4 linked regions of the Drosophila melanogaster genome follow. The protein of the gene in region 1 interacts with the protein of each later gene in a pairwise test. Each region holds a gene or a part of one and is shown in the gene's direction. Other genes may lie near its edges. The genes, in order: PolA2, hale, CG10650 and Mst84Da.

What was found.
Region 2: the proteins of PolA2 (region 1) and hale interact in a two-hybrid assay, tested with the Drosophila melanogaster proteins (one large-scale study listed by BioGRID).
Region 3: the proteins of PolA2 (region 1) and CG10650 interact in a two-hybrid assay, tested with the Drosophila melanogaster proteins (one large-scale study listed by BioGRID).
Region 4: the proteins of PolA2 (region 1) and Mst84Da interact in a two-hybrid assay, tested with the Drosophila melanogaster proteins (one large-scale study listed by BioGRID).

The regions. Positions count from the first base shown.
Region 1 is NT_033777.3:27,237,252-27,241,782, forward strand, and holds PolA2 (DNA polymerase alpha subunit 2), read left to right. Parts: upstream 1-1,911; 5' UTR 1,912-2,022; coding exon 2,023-3,852; 3' UTR 3,853-3,977; downstream 3,978-4,531. Other genes in the region: CG31064 (uncharacterized protein), read right to left, coding at 1-572; CG17991 (uncharacterized protein), read left to right, coding at 4,081-4,531. UniProt on the Drosophila melanogaster protein: Accessory subunit of the DNA polymerase alpha complex (also known as the alpha DNA polymerase-primase complex) which plays an essential role in the initiation of DNA synthesis.
Region 2 is NT_037436.4:19,983,887-19,987,636, reverse strand, and holds hale (hale-bopp), read left to right. Parts: upstream 1-1,768; 5' UTR 1,769-1,861; coding exon 1,862-2,082; intron 2,083-2,141; coding exon 2,142-3,141; 3' UTR 3,142-3,211; downstream 3,212-3,750. Other genes in the region: schuy (schumacher-levy), read right to left, coding at 1-854, 918-1,473; CG17732 (uncharacterized protein), read right to left, coding at 3,446-3,750.
Region 3 is NT_033779.5:18,992,844-18,997,644, reverse strand, and holds CG10650 (uncharacterized protein), read left to right. Parts: upstream 1-1,710; 5' UTR 1,711-1,790; coding exon 1,791-1,866; intron 1,867-1,932; coding exon 1,933-2,043; intron 2,044-2,623; coding exon 2,624-3,508; intron 3,509-3,653; coding exon 3,654-3,859; 3' UTR 3,860-4,285; downstream 4,286-4,801. Other genes in the region: CG46465 (uncharacterized protein), read right to left, coding at 4,414-4,801.
Region 4 is NT_033777.3:7,364,303-7,366,791, forward strand, and holds Mst84Da (Male-specific RNA 84Da), read left to right. Parts: upstream 1-1,547; 5' UTR 1,548-1,630; coding exon 1,631-1,669; exon of another isoform or gene 1,670-1,724; coding exon 1,725-1,877; 3' UTR 1,878-1,960; downstream 1,961-2,489. Other genes in the region: Mst84Dc (Male-specific RNA 84Dc), read right to left, coding at 60-227; Mst84Db (Male-specific RNA 84Db), read right to left, coding at 979-1,203.

The DNA.
Region 1 (4,531 bases):
TCGACGGATACCCGGAAATTGCACAGGTAAATGGTGTCCTGGACACCGCCGGCTAGCTCCTCGCTGGTGTTGGCATGCGATGCCTTTGGCAAGGCAATCGTATTGCTGCTGTTGCTCGCCTGTTGTTGCTGCAACACCAGGGGTTGCTGCTGTGTCTGTTGCGGTTGTGGCGGCTGCTGTTTCGGCTGCACTTGTTGTGAGGGTGGATTCTGACCCTTTTGGCTCTTCGCCGCTGCTGCTTGCGCCCTTGTTGTTGCCGTTGCTCCAATTGCTGTTGCTGTTGTGCCAGTTGGAGTTGCTGCCGTGGCGGACTTTGCAGACTTGCCTACTTGTTGTTGCCCCGTTTGAGGCGCCTTCTTGGCAGCCATTGTTCCTGACGACAATGACGTCGCGCTGCCCGATGTTGGCGTTTTCACTGCACTTCTCAAGGGCTTCGAGCTGCTGCCGCTGGCACTTGATCCTGTTGCAAGGCTGCTCGACTTGATGCGACCGCTGCCGCTGGTGCTGCTGAGGTTGTTGTTGTTCGCCGACGACAACTTGGTCCTTTTTGTATCCTCGACAAGTCCACGCATTTCGCTGCTGCTTCAAAGTACGCCTGAGTAGTGTGTGTGTGTGCGTGGGCGTCCATAAAAATACAGATATATACATATATCGATATTAGCTGTTCAATAAGTTCCGAGTTTCCTTTGCTGCCGCTTTCCCTCAACTGTTTTTTCATTACCTTAGAGGGGTTTTTTCCTTTTGTAAACCTCTTTTCCAGAGGGTTTTACTTCTGAAATTAACAAAATAACCGAAAGTTCTCGCCGCTTTGATTTTGCACCGTTATCCTGTTGTGTACGCGTTGAGTAAGACTGGCAAAAAGTTCTTTATCCTATTGATTTGTCCAGTGCGCCAAGCTCGCAAGCTCCTCGCGAGCTTTCGTTGGGGGTGTTCTCGATGGTCACGCTGTGTGTGGTGCGCAAATCACCTTTGACACTTTCCCAATGCACTTTTAAGTTATTTTTAATCATATTATTTATACAAGTACCGAAATATTTCAACGACAGTTTCGCACAGCCCACGAAATTGCTAATACTAATTAATAAATACATTTTAGAATAGTTTTGAGTACCTAAATTGTTATATTAAATATATATGTGTATATATTTATATATATTATATATAATATATTTTATATATGCAACATTATTACTTAACATATTATTATTAGCGCACAATGGAAATTTGGTTTCCATTGCTGCTTATCATCGAATGAATAATAATTCGGACTCACCGCGTTTCAGTCGCTTTGCTTTCAGTTTCGATGGCGACGGGGATGAAGCACTGGCGCTCGCCACCGTGTCCGGCGCAACAGGTACAACAGGTGGTGCGGGCTCGTCGGGATACGGGTACGTGGTGGTGCCATCGATTACCTCGGAAGAGGCGGCTGCTGCGGCCGCATTCGAGAACTGTGTGGATATGTGGCTGAAGATCTGCGAGGAGATGCTCTCCGTGCGCCGGAAGGTGTTCCGCAGGCGGTCCAGCGATGACGTGGGGGCGCTGGGCGCAGGCGCGGCACCTCCGGTGGTGGGCGTAACCGGAATGGAGACACTCGAGGATTGGGAGTCTTCACTCCTTTCGCGGCGCACCAGCAGATCGTCCGTGCTCATGGCGAATCACTTGCTTCGCGGCGATTATCAGGACACTGTGCGGAGTCACATGAATCAAAATGACGCGATTACAGCCGCTAATTTCGCTTGTTTTGCGCTTGAACGCGGGTAAACAAAAAAGTTTGTCAATACAAAATTAAAACAGCTGTTGCACTGCGATTGGGGATGGGCGATAACAATCACTGGTTACAGATCACGGTTATCGCAGCTCGATGGGAGCTGTTATGTTATTGAACTGACTATGCTTATCGATAAGAAAACTCAAGCAGGTGTTAAAAGCATCATAGGGTGGCAACACTGTGCCCACTTTTACCGCCAAAATAAATTGCTAGGTTTATTTACGAAAATTAAACGCCCAACGAAAGGACAACGAATGGAGGAGGAATTGAAGCAGCAGTTCGACGAGATGGGCGTGGAGCCAGCGGACGCAGTTCTGGGCAGGTGTGCGGAGCTGGCCATTACCTACAACATCCACGACGCCACCGAGTTCGTGGAGCAGTGGATGGCCTTCAGTTTGTCGCACCTCCAAGGCGAGGATCCTGCGATCGAGAATCTGGGCGACTTTGAGCGCAAGGTGTTGCAGCTGCGGAAGGACAAGGCGGGATACAAGGCAACTGGCCAGAAGGCGAAATCATATGGTTCGCCCTCTGTACAGGATACGAGCTCACTGGCCACCTATGGCGTCATGGAGGACGATCCCATGCTGGATGACTATGTCAGCGAATCGGCAGTGGACTCCTCCGCTCTGCACACGCCCAAGGCCAAGAAGCAGTCGGATCGGACCGCCAATCTCAAGGGCGCCGCACTCTTTAGCCCCGCCAGCTATACACCCCAATCGGCAAAGAGGAAAGCAGGTTTAGAAACACCATCCAACTCAGTGGCCGGCAAGCCGGGCGATATAGTTGACACCTTCGGACATCCCAAACTCCTGGCTGGCTCCAGCTGGCAGTCACAAATGGAGCACACGGTTCCGGTGACTCAAAAACTGCTGCACAACGACGCCCCGCTGACCATCGCAAATTTGGGCTACATGAACGACCTGCTGACCGACCGATGTCACAACCTGCGCGTCCGCTTCAACCAAACCGGTCCGGCACTAGTGGACAAGAAACTTGGACAAGCAGGCGCAGCCGAGTGCATTTGGTATCCGCAGGATAGGCAGGTATTGCAGTCCGCAGGTGGACTCCACGCGGTGGGAATGATTCATTCCGAGGACGATGGCCCACTGGACGCCCACTCCGCATTTATGGCCGTTTTAGATGACGATGTAGAAGATGAAATGGACCCAACGCTCACGCTCAACTTCTCCAGGGTCAAGTCTGCCAGCATATTCCCAGGTCAAGTGGTGCTCGCCAAAGGGTTCATACCCAGGGGCAAAACCTTCATGGTAGAGGAGATACACACAGAGCGCAAACTGACGCCAGCAACGCCACTGCAAATAGACAGGGAGCTTCAGTTTGTGGTGGCCTCCGGACCCTTTACGGACAGTACGGATCTCTTCTACGAACCGCTGCACGACCTGCTCAAGTACCTCAAGGATCACAGACCTGACGTGCTGGTGCTCACGGGACCATTCCTGGATGCCGATCACAAGATGGTCGGCGAACTGGCCGAGACCTTCGATACATTCTTCGAGAAGATGATTGGGGGAATAATGGAGTCGATTGGTAGTCACACAGCAGTGCTGGTGGTGACCAGTCAGAAGGATGCCATGGCTCTTTCCGTATATCCAACGCCGCCGCCCGCTCTGCGCAGAACCTATCCAAATCTATACATGCTGCCCGATCCATCTCTGGTGGACTTGGATGGCTTTACGCTGGGCGTTACCTCAACCGACGTGGTGGACCACCTGTTGAGTCACGAGTTTGCTGTGAATGCCGGCGAGCGGATGCACAGGGCCATCAACCACTTGTTCCACCAGGGCTCCTTCTATCCTTTGTATCCGCCGGCGGACGAAGACATGGCCTACGATTCCCAGCTGGCGTTGAAATATGCACAGCTCAAACAGCTACCAAATGTGCTCATCTTGCCCAGCGATCAGCGGCATTTCATCCGCTTGGTCAACGACTGCCTGGTGATCAATCCCGGCCGTGTCGCGGACAAGAAGGGTGGAACTTTCGCCCGATTCCTGGTGGCGCCTTCGGTGCCGGGAAAGGCGGCCAACATGTTCAACAGTGTGGCGTGTCAAGTCCAACGCATCTAACCTGACCACTTTGTGATGATGATAAGGAAAGGATAGTGGGAAATAGATCAGTACAATATTATTAGTTAATATAATGAACACACTACTTTGTCATAACTTTTCACAAAATACATTCAACAACAAACAACTAGCATTAGTTATTTTGGGCCAAAGTAGGTATTGTATTATTTGTAAACATATGCCCTGGAGTTTTCTCAGACTCAAGTTTTATATACAACAAGATCAATAATGGCTAGCAACGTTGCTGCGCCACAAGCTTCAGCTGGAGGAGATTCGACGGAACTGGAGCGCTGTTGCTGGATCTGTTTTGAGACCGATAAGGAGGCAGGTCGCCAGGCTTGGGTGAATCCATGTCTCTGCCGAGGAACCAATAAGTGGGTGCACCAGAGCTGCATTTCCCTCTGGATCGACGAGAAGACCCGAATAAACAACAATCTGCAAGCCGTTTCCTGTCCACAATGCCAAACGGAGTACACCATTGCATACCCGAATCTCTGGATTTTCGATAGGGCTTTGGAGCTGACCAACGATCTTATCCTAACAAACTTATATAATTGCCTGGCCAATGTCTTCACGGTGGTCTTTGCCTATTGGTCAGCGGTTTCATTCGGAGCAAAAACATATTTGCAGATCACTGGTCAGGAAGGTCACGTTCATCAAATAATTCAATCGGGAGACC
Region 2 (3,750 bases), on another chromosome or scaffold:
GCTGCTGCGTCGCTGGCTTGGTTTCAAGGGGCAGCAGACACTTTGGGCTTGTTGCTGCTGCTGCTGTGATTGGAACACCTGTTGGTTGTTGAAGGGTCCCAGGCAGTGGCAACAAGGATGGGGGTGCGTCCTGCACTGGGAACACTGGTTGCACAAGGATTGGCACGAGCAACAGGGATAAAATCCTCCAGAAATCGGAATATTCGGCTGCTGCTGCAGCGCACAAGTGGAGGTTCCGAGAACTGGGTGCATCATGTGCTGGCTGATCTGACCACCTAATCCCATAGAAGGATGTGATTCCATGCTCGACAAAGGACAGCAGGATGTACCACCGTTGTAGCAGCCGTTTGCAAAACTCTCCGGCTTCAACATGCAGCAGTTGCTTCCGTTGGCTGGACATTGATACTGATTGCCCATCTGCATTGGGCAGACTTGACTCGTCCTCGACGGACAGCAATTGCTGCACGTGCAGCAGGAGCAGCTGGACATGCTGCTCGGCGTGGCGCACAGGAACTGCTGGCCAGGATACATGACAGGACAACCCGATGTTGCCGTCCCCGGCTGATTCATGTGCATAAAACTGATGGTCACATATGGCGAGTTGTTGGTCGGTTGAACTCGCACGTTCGGGTGTTGCTGCAGCGTCAAATGCTGCTGCATATGTTGCTGCTGCTGCTGCAGCACATTCTGCTGCATGTTCTGATGTTGCAGCAAGGACATTTGCTGTTGATGCTGCTCATTCAGCGACGGTTGTCGCTGTTGTTGCTGTTGCTCCCGATTTAATTTTAAAAGTTTTTGTCGGACCTGGGCTGCAGTTTGAAGGGATAACTTCCGAGCGGCTTGTACAGTGTTACCTGGGGAATAAAGAGGGAGGAAGGAACATAAATATAGAAGCAATCTAAAATGAATAATATAACCTTTCTGGTTGCTATTGCTGGTGGTTGGATACTGCGGAAAGGCTTTGTCCGTCTGGGATCCTGCATTAGAAATGGCGTAGGAACGCGAGGTCTGCTGCGTCTGACACTTGCCGGTTTGGTCTTCCTTCGACTGTTCTATGTCCTGTTGAATCCGATTCCTAGCCAAAGCATCCTCGAGAACCACGAACGAAGGTCTATTCGCCAGATCCTTGTTGCAGATCTTAACGAAAGGCGGCAAAGTTTCGGTTTTCTTGATCTCCTCTATGGACTTGTCATTCTTGCTCTTCTCCAGCTTTTCAGTTGAGTCATCATCGATGTCATTTGAATTCCCTTTGAGCACAGCTATGCACTCTTTCTTGGTTTCCTTAGTGCCATTCGTCAGTGGGGAGTTACTACTGTCTGCTCCGCTTTGGGGATTCTTGCATTCCTGATTAAGTGAGCTAATTTCGATGAGACCATCAGTGCCCACGGTAATCATGAAACAGCATTTGGCCACCGTTTCGTCATTTGATTTGGCCAATTGCCCTGATGATTCATTCTCGCCTGGGGCCTCCATTTTCCTGAATTTTGATGTGTTTTCCGGGTGTTGTGAGTTGATGTTTCCTAACGCATATCAAAAAGTATATCAGGCGACAAATGTACTGTCAACTTTGAAATGCTCATCGAAACTGGATTTCCCTTACTGTGTAAGTAGTGACCAAAACGTTCTTGGTGTTTAAGATTTTAGAACCATATTAATATTAATAAGATAAAATTATTTAAAAACTTGAAACAGTATTTATTTCTTAAAATAATTCAAATTATATACTAGAGAAGCAAGTCTGGTATCAATCAGTATGTCTCAGCTTTATGATGTCAAACATTTCTACACCTTTTGTGCTTTAACATGTACACAAAATTGTCATATCCGTGAGTTGGCCTCTCCGGGTGGTGAAGAGTTGAAGATGTTCTGCACGGAGAGCTGTGAGCACGGATGCAATGCAACCTCGTCGGGCAAGCTGATCGCCAATGGAAACGGTGGCGGCCTGCAGTCGCAGGGAAATTCACAGCATCAGTTCACCATGTCCTACGCTCCACTGTCGACCAACGATGTGCCCTCCAAGTCCGAGGTGGAACCACCGCGACTGGGCATGTGCCTGGTCACCGAGTGTCCAGAGGGTCTGAGGTAATTTATACATGAATTTCCATGAAAAGTGATTCGATTTCTACTCCCTTCCTCTCCAGCATTGACTGCAATGTGCCACTGCCGAATTCTTTCAATTTGGATGAATACAAAAATCACATGATCTGCTCGAGCTGTACCCAGTTCAATGGTGGCTTGGACAGATTTGGCCAGCCAGGTACAGCCGGTCCAAGTGCCAGTCCTAGTGCCAATCCATATCCAACTCCGATGCCCAATCCCATCCAGGCCTCTCCTTGCAGCTTTCATGGCCAGTGTTGTTCAGCCGGTGGACCATGCGCTGGATATGATTCGCAGCCAAATCCATCAAGATGCTATCGACAGGAATCATCGTTGGCTCAAGGAGCCCCAGCGATGCCGCAGATCTTTTGCCTGGCACCACCCAGTTCCCATGGTGGCTTAAATCAGCCCGTTTACTTGTGCAGCCTGATTCCAGTTCCGCCATCGTGGAACCTGGTGCCGCTGGCCCAACCGCAGCACTTGACGCATCAGCAGCTGCTGACGAATCCCGCACAGGACTCGCAGCTGCCGTTGCAGCAATTGGTGCAGTACGACCTGTCCTTCAATCGCCTGCTGGCCGAATTGCGCAAGGAACGGGAGAGGTCCTGTTGTGACCTGCAGATCCCCCAGCCTCTGGCTTTCCAGCTGTATGCGCCCACGGTTAGGTTTCTAGATCAGCCAGATTCCAGTTCGGCGAAGAGAGAGCCTCATTGCCCGCCGGCAGCTCCTTGTGCTCCTCCAGCTGCACCACCACAACCACCATCCTCGTCATCATCCCCAACAGCCACATCTGCCTCCGCCGCCGGGCTGCCAAGAGCTCGTTCGGCCAGCCCGAAGCGCAGTCGTTCGTGTCTCCGGAACAAGGATCTCTGGGACAGTGGCGGATCCGTACCAGGTCCATCCCCCTGCTCCTCGCCCACCCAACATGCGACCGGAAATGTGTGCATGAAGTGCGGAAACTGCTGGCATTGTCCGCGCTGCAACTGCTCCAACTGCTTCTGGCATCCCGGCTTGGTGCGAGCTCCTCCAAGAGATGGTCGCTAGGGAAGGGGACTAAGAGCCACTCCTACACTGTAAAAGAAGAAAGTGTAATAAAATTCCAAGACTTTTAAGCAAGCAGCTTGCCACTATTTCTTAATTGAATTCAATAATAAGAATATTTATTCTTGCAATATGAAGAGAGAGTCACTTTTAAGGTTTTTTTTTCGTTTATTAGTTTGTAATATTTAAACCCTATTTATAAATATTTTATGATACATAAAAAATGAATTCTTTCACAATTTCTACAGCAGCTAGGACTTATATCACAAGTAATGTTCGTTAAACAATGAACTGTAATTAAAAGTAATTATCGATCAGCCTGCATGTTCATAAAGCTAGCCACGTAGTTGGACATGACCGAGTTTATTCCGAAATGGTCGTTTCTGGGCTCAAGGGGTTGGGATTGCAAATTCCGGTGGCCGGGCAAGATCAGCGAAGCTGGCGGCAAGGGAGTTCTTATTTGGCAAGGATACGGATCCGTTCCCAGCTCAGAAATCCTTGTGCGACAACGCCTCACTTTCCGGGCAGAGGGACTAACTTGGGTGCAGGTCCTGCTGCTGGATTGGCAATACGGAGGTGGCGGAAGGAGAAATCTTTGCTGCAGCTCAACTG
Region 3 (4,801 bases), on another chromosome or scaffold:
TTTCCGAGATCTCGACGCTTATATGGACAGACATAGTCGGATCGAATGATCAAAAATATTTATACCTTCTAGGCTTGAAGTCACTTGCACTTTTCAACGTATAACATGCTTTCCAACGAACTAATTTATTAAATTGCAATGCCAGAAATTCAACTAAACAGCAATACGTCCGCGCGTAGAAAAGATCTTAAAGGTACTGAGTGTGAGCAACATGATTAGCTCTCGGTGCTAAATTCGCCGGAGATAACCCAGATTAGATTTCGGTTATATTTTTTGAAGATAATGGCTTTATGTTGAATACCAGTCTGGTTCAAAAAAACCTTAAATGATATGCTAAAGATAAAAAGATATAAAAGTATGTACTTACTATTTGTACTTTGTTTTATTGAATCATTTTGTCTAGACTTCAACTTAAACCTTAATAACATAAAACACCGGCATGTGCAGAATTTAAGAAGTCGCCCAAATACAATAAATAATAATAATTTTTATTAAGACACTGAGAGAAAAATTAAGTTTCGATATTAAATTAGGAACGAACGATAAAAAAAAAAAAAACTTAAAAGCAAACACATAAGTTCAAGAACGAGTAACCGAAATTATAAACTTGAGAACGAACGTTCACATATAAACAAAAGTCTCACTTCAATCCTCAAGTATCGTTAAGATATATGACTTGTAGTTAAGGCACATTGTTTATATGTTATTAGCCAGAAAATTGGGCAATACAGCTTTACATATATAATTGTACACTTTCCTCGTAGAATATAAGGGTTAAAAACTATGAAACAAGAAAGTGTTTTTGACCCTACAAATGTGTATTTATTCAATTAAATCTGGGTATCTGATAGGAATTGAGTTCTTTCTTGTTAGTTCAAATTACATTATTTTTTTTATCAATGGAACTATAGTCAATCCATAATCAAATGGAAAGTTTGTCGAACCTGTAAAATCTGGAAATTGAGATTATTCATGCAGTTTTTGGTGGCGCCTTTTATTTTTATACCCTTGCAAATGGTACATTGATTTCATTCAGATTCGTATATTCAACAGTAGAGTCGATACAGTCATGTTTGTCTTCGTTCAATTTCAGTTAGTATACATATAGGTTGGACCACTATATCATATTGCTGTTATAGGGATAATCGAAAAATAATGGTAAGTATTAATATATGTATGAGATATACAACAGTTTTTGACCATATTTTAATTTGATGAAAATCAAAAGAAAATATATCATATAACTGCCGTACAGCCAAGGCAAACCAAATTTTAATTAAAGTATTTAATTATCGTTATAATTGTGTTCAATTATCCGCCGGCTAGATCGGAAACAGGAAGTTACTGTTGATGTATATTCGTTTAAGGAAATACGGTAAGAACGTTGGCAGCATGGGTTAATTTTTCAGCTTTTGCAAAAGCTCCAAAGTAAATGCAGGCTTGTGGTAACTATCATCGCATGTGAACAGCGTTGTACACACACACACTTGCACATTTACACCTGGGTATTGAAGTTATCAGCTAAAAGAGAACTGACTTCCTCCGATTGTACATATATATATATATATATATATATATGTATACAAACATATATATGTGTGTAGAGCAGATAACCACTGCATGCGGAGAAGAGCTTGGCAGGTGTTAGTGAGTTCAGGTGAAATTGATTATGCGAATGGGGGTAAAAAAAATATGGCCAAACAGTGAGGGAGCCAGTTAAAAAACGGTGGTCGATCCAGCCGGTCCGACATTTCAGTTGAGAAGCCAGAAAGAATAGAAAACCGAGAGCCATGAGAGAATACAGCCTGTGTATGATTGTGATAGCAGCTTTCATTGCCAGCCAGCTGGACAGCACCTCAGCCCTCCGTAGGTTACCACATTTTGGATGAGTTTTTTCAAATGACTTACTTCAAATTATTATTGCCATTGCAGAGTGCTATTCGTGCACATCGACGACGAATGACACTGGAAATTGTTTAACGAGTCCATCTACTCAAACTTCTATAGAGTGTGATAATGAATGCTATACTCTTATTAACGCAGGTGGGTTTGTATGACTCATGACCGACTATTTCATATTCTTAGACGGGGGTAGTGGCCCTCTTATCGATCAGTGCAACCAAAGGTGATAAGCGATTATCTCTTTTTCTTTTTGATAGCTATTGATCCTTGTTTTCTTTTCTAATTTCGTGCGGATCGAAAAAGGTTTATGATGTTGTGACTCATTTGGCAGTTACTGCACTACCTGGCTTTTTCGTGTTGTTGTCTAAGATTTAAATATTGCGTATAATTTGATTTAATAACGAAGAGAACGCTAAAGTGGAGTCACTCGACCATCAGATACCTCTTTATTCAGCTTGTGGGAGTTTAAGGTACACATTTAAACATTCTGTTGAAGTATCAGTAGAATCTGGCACGCTTTGTGGGCTTTAGAGTGGGCGTGAAAATGATCTGAATGAAATTAGCACAGCTTAGGCGCCACTAGAATCTGCAGGCTCTCAACTTATAAGGAATATATAAGTTATATTAGAAATCATTATAAGTTTATATTAGAAATCATACGAAGTTTTGCTCTGAACCATATTCCCTTGCATCTAGTTATTGATTTTCTGTATCCCAATAGGAACTCTAACTCGTGGCTGCTTGATTAATGGCACTGCGTGCACCTTACCATCCTGCTCGACCTGCAAGGAAGACAATTGCAATTTGAATTTGGTGTGCCAGCAGTGCCTCGGCGAAGCGAATTGCGCCACGACCAACGTGACGGATACGCAATACAATGCAGTGTGCCCCAATAATGGACAGGTCTGCGTGAATCAGTTGAATGACAACAAGACGGTGACCCGTCAATGTGGTGACCCCTGTGCTGCTGGAACGGAATCCACGTGCTCCTCATGCTCGGCATCCCTGTGCAATGTGGGACTATTCCCCGCCAATCGTCGCCAGTGCTATAATTGCTCAGGAGAGAACTGCAATGCGGTCTCAAATACCTTGGTCGCGGGATGTAGTCAAATCGATGCCGGGTGCTTCACCACCGGAACGTCTGCGAGCAACATGACCCGTGGTTGCACATCGGCCACCACGGAAATCAAGTGTGCGTCGGACAGCACTGATCCCAGTTGCCTCGTCTGCAACTCCGACTTTTGCAATAGTCCGACCTACGAACGAGAGGCCGGTTCCTGTATCATTTGCGAGAACTGTGCGGAGCAACAGGTTGCTACCAATGCGAAGTCCTGCGGACAGGCCAAGTACAACCAGGAAGTCGGGTGTTATACCATGACCTCAGGAACCAATGTTACCCGAGGGTGCCTAAACACCTTGGAGGCTGGCTGCTCTACAACCAATGCCTGCACTTCCTGCTCCGAAAATGGCTGCAATGTGGCTGCCGGCGAGTTCCAGTGCATTACATGCATTTCGAATGAGGTTTCCGGCTGCTGGTCGGCCAAATATCCGGACACGCTCCCTTTGATCAACTGCCCCAATGGAACGTGCTACAGCGGAGTCTGGAGTAAGTTGGTACCAAGTCTAAGCACAGCGAATCAATGCTATAGTTTTCAAAGATTTTATTTTATAATGTAAAAGGGTATTCCCAAATTGCATTATTATTATGCCAGCAAAAATCCTAACAATTGCCTTTCAACATTTTCCCCCAGATGAACTTGGAGTGCGAGGATGTTTTACCGCTGCCAGCCACCTGATGCAGTACCAGTGCAATGCCAAAGTGGAGGCCCATCAGTGCGAATTGTGTACGGAGAGCAAGTGCAACAAGGTACCCTTCAATGGAGCAGGCGCACTCAGGAATGTGGGCGTGGTCGGCCTTCTGACGGGAGTGGTGATCGCTCTACGCAGTGCCCTGTAATCCAACCACCTCCACGTAGTTGGATGATCCAATCAAATTACCGGGTGCCTGGGTCTATGAGTAATGTTAACTATTACAAAGCAACAGACAAAAAGACATAACCTAATTATAGGAGCTGAAGCATTTTAAGAACACTTCCATAATCCCAAATAAATCATTTTAATAAAACAATTACTCTTTCACAGTAGTTTAGTAATTATGTCCTTGGAAAACCCTGTTTTCATTGATGGCTAGTGGTAAAAGAGTTTTCAACCTGCTAGGCCTTATCAAATAAAGAAATAATCACAACGCCTTATCAACCGCAGTACCATTAATAATATACTTTGTACATATATGTGTGTATATTTATTGCATCAATCAAAATGAGAGTTTATATTAACAATAGTTCGAAGAAATTTGTTTGGGTGCACTAGAAGAGCCAGTTGGAAATGTCTCAGAAAGTATTTGTAGCATTCTTAGGTAACTCAAATTACATTTTCCATTACATGACGATGGTGATTTCGCCGAATTCCATAATTTTGGTTTTCAATTTGCCATTATTAAGCTGAACAGGCCTATAATATAATCATAAGTTTGCATTTTTCACTCCTAAAGAGCCAGCCGGCTAAACAGAAGATCATTAGACTTGAGTATATTATTCGCGATCCTGCATTCGTGGCCAAACCATTTTTATCTATTTCCACATAGTTGCAATCGTCTTCGAAACACCTCTCACAGAGTTCTGCATGTTTCTCGCAGTGTTCCAGTGAACTCTCGTCCATGTCGGAAATGCAGCTTCTCACCATAAAGCCATCTGGTCCTCCAGCACTGCTGTTGAAGTTGAAGTACATAGATACGCAACCGTTCAATTCGCCTAACTTTATGTGGCACATCTTTTTGCCCTTCCTAGTTCTGGTTTTCCCCTCATTGGGTGAGCAAAATTTACAACTGAGGCATCTTATA
Region 4 (2,489 bases), about 20 Mb from region 1:
AACCATGGTGGGATTGTGGTATGGTTTCACAAATCGATTCGGCTGCCAATTGCGAGCATTTAGCACCAACAGCCACCGCAACAACTGCCAAATGGTCCGCAACAAGGTCCACAGGGTCCACAGGGTCCACAGCAGGATCCGCACGGCCCACATCGGGGTCCACAAGGTCCACAGCAGGGACCACAGCAGTAATATCCGCAGCACGATCCACAAGGTCCACAGCACATGATTAATTCGAGAAGTCTAAAATAAACGAAATAAATATGTATACTATTTTAACTTTACAATAAACATTTTTACCAACGGTCTTTAGAAGCCAAAAAAAAAAAACAAGTATTTGGGACAAAACAACAAAATTTTGATGCGAGCAGCACAAGGGTCGAGATGAGAATGATATATTTTCCGAACTTACAAGGTTAGGTGGGTCTGACAGGTCAAGAACGATTTCCATAGCCTACTATGAATTCGAATTATGTTTATGTACAGCGGTTGATGGTTAAAAATAGTTATTATTGTTATAGAATTATTGTTATCGGACATTTGTCCGTTTGCAGACAAATACTATTATTGAATGAGGTTTAAATTCACGGTTGCAGGTTTTATACCCGCCACTCGTAGAGTAATAGCTATGCTATAGTGAATAGAAGAAAAGGTTATTTATTCTTGAGCTGGATCACAAGCCTAGTCGATATGAACGTAGGATGTTCCTCCGCCCCCTCTAACGATCGCAATCCACCAAGAATTGACAATTTTAATTTTCGCAATTATATTACATAAATTATTATTGTCACGCATTTGGTATCCATAGCTAAGACAAAGGTTGCACCATTTAGAAGAGAAAAACCATCGGAAAAGGTATTTTGAAATTCTTATTTTATTGACTAGGCCCGCGAGCTAAGAAGAGTTTATCCGCATTCAGTCCTAAGTTCCACTTTGTGGTTCACAGGAAAAAGATATTTTACATGTTGTGGTTGTTGTTCAGCACCCGCAATATGGCCTACAAGGTCCACAGCAAGGTCCACAAGGCCCGCATGGACCACAGCCCCCGCAGCAAGGACCGCAAGGACCGCAAGGGCCGCAAGGCGCACAGCAAGATCCACAAGGACTACAGCAGGAACCGCAAGGACCACAGGGTCCGCAAGGTCCGCAAGGACCGCCGCACGGGCTACAGGGTCCGCAGAATCCAAGGGGTCCGCAACACATGATGGTTCCGTAAAGTTCTAAGAAAAATTTTGTTAAAACTTCGCATGCTTACACTTTGAGAAATACTCACTTTGAACCTAACAAAGAAATAACTTAGGACGAAAAAATATTTCGATGATTACAGGCCGAGAACCAAAATAAGAATGATGGAAACCTGACTCACAAGTTGGTATATGAATTTGACAACTGTCGAAAATATCCATAGCTAACTAGATTATGGGTTTTGGGATACCAGAATATAATAATAATAATGAATATAATTTGTCGGATCATATTAGCCTTGAAATTCTCATGACTGCTGTCAAATGAAGCTTCGGCTAATTTGGATCACATTCAGTCAGTTCTCCGTTCCACCTTCAATAGTTAACACCTAAATTTTCGGTTCCTTTCGATTCCGGTTGGGAAATATCTTTTAAGAAACAAAATCATGTACATGTACGTCAACCCGAATTACGTTTTGGTTGGGGTATGTATTTATCGGTCTCGTAAGTCGAGTGAATACTTTTAATATGATTTATCAGGGCCCCTGCTGTGGCCCCTGCGGCGGATGCGGACCCTGTGGTGGATGTGGCCCCTGCTGTGGTGGGTGTGGCCCCTGCTGTGGTCCTTGCGGAGGATGTGGACCTTGCTGCGGCGGCACCAGCAGTTTTTGCGGTTGCGGTCCTTGCTGCTAAACCAGTTGACCCGGAAACCTGTCGGAATACTTCCGGGAACTATGTAAATCTCAAAAAATAAACTGTGTGGGAGACAACAAATTATATATTTTTGTTTCTTATTGAAATTAATAATGTAATGTCCTAGTCAACGTAGCTTGGTAGTAGCGGCATCGAGTAAATCAGCTTGTTCCAAAAGTTCGGATGGCTTCTCTCCAGATAGGTGTTAAATGCCATGTAGGTCCTTAGCTCGCTATCCAGACTGTCGAAGTTCTTCACGTTTGGATAGAGCACCACTATCAGACGCTTGCACCGATCGCGTGAGGTGGCGTGGAGGGCCAGTCGGAACTCGAGGCGACCCCAAGTGGAATTCATAAAGTTCTCTGTCATGAGGACAATAATGCGCCGCGAGTCCTTTATAGATTGACCAATGCAATCGGGAATAGATTCGCCCGCCAGCCAGTCTCGCAGGTAGAAGCAGAGTTGGAACCTGGGCCTACCACGTTCCAGCCTATCCACGAACTCCTCCAGCAGAGCCTCGTCCTTATGGGTAAACGCCAGAAAGGCATCGAACCTTTTGTCCTTATCAAGTTCCCGCTTGGCTGACAGACTGAGACACACACCGTGCTCATA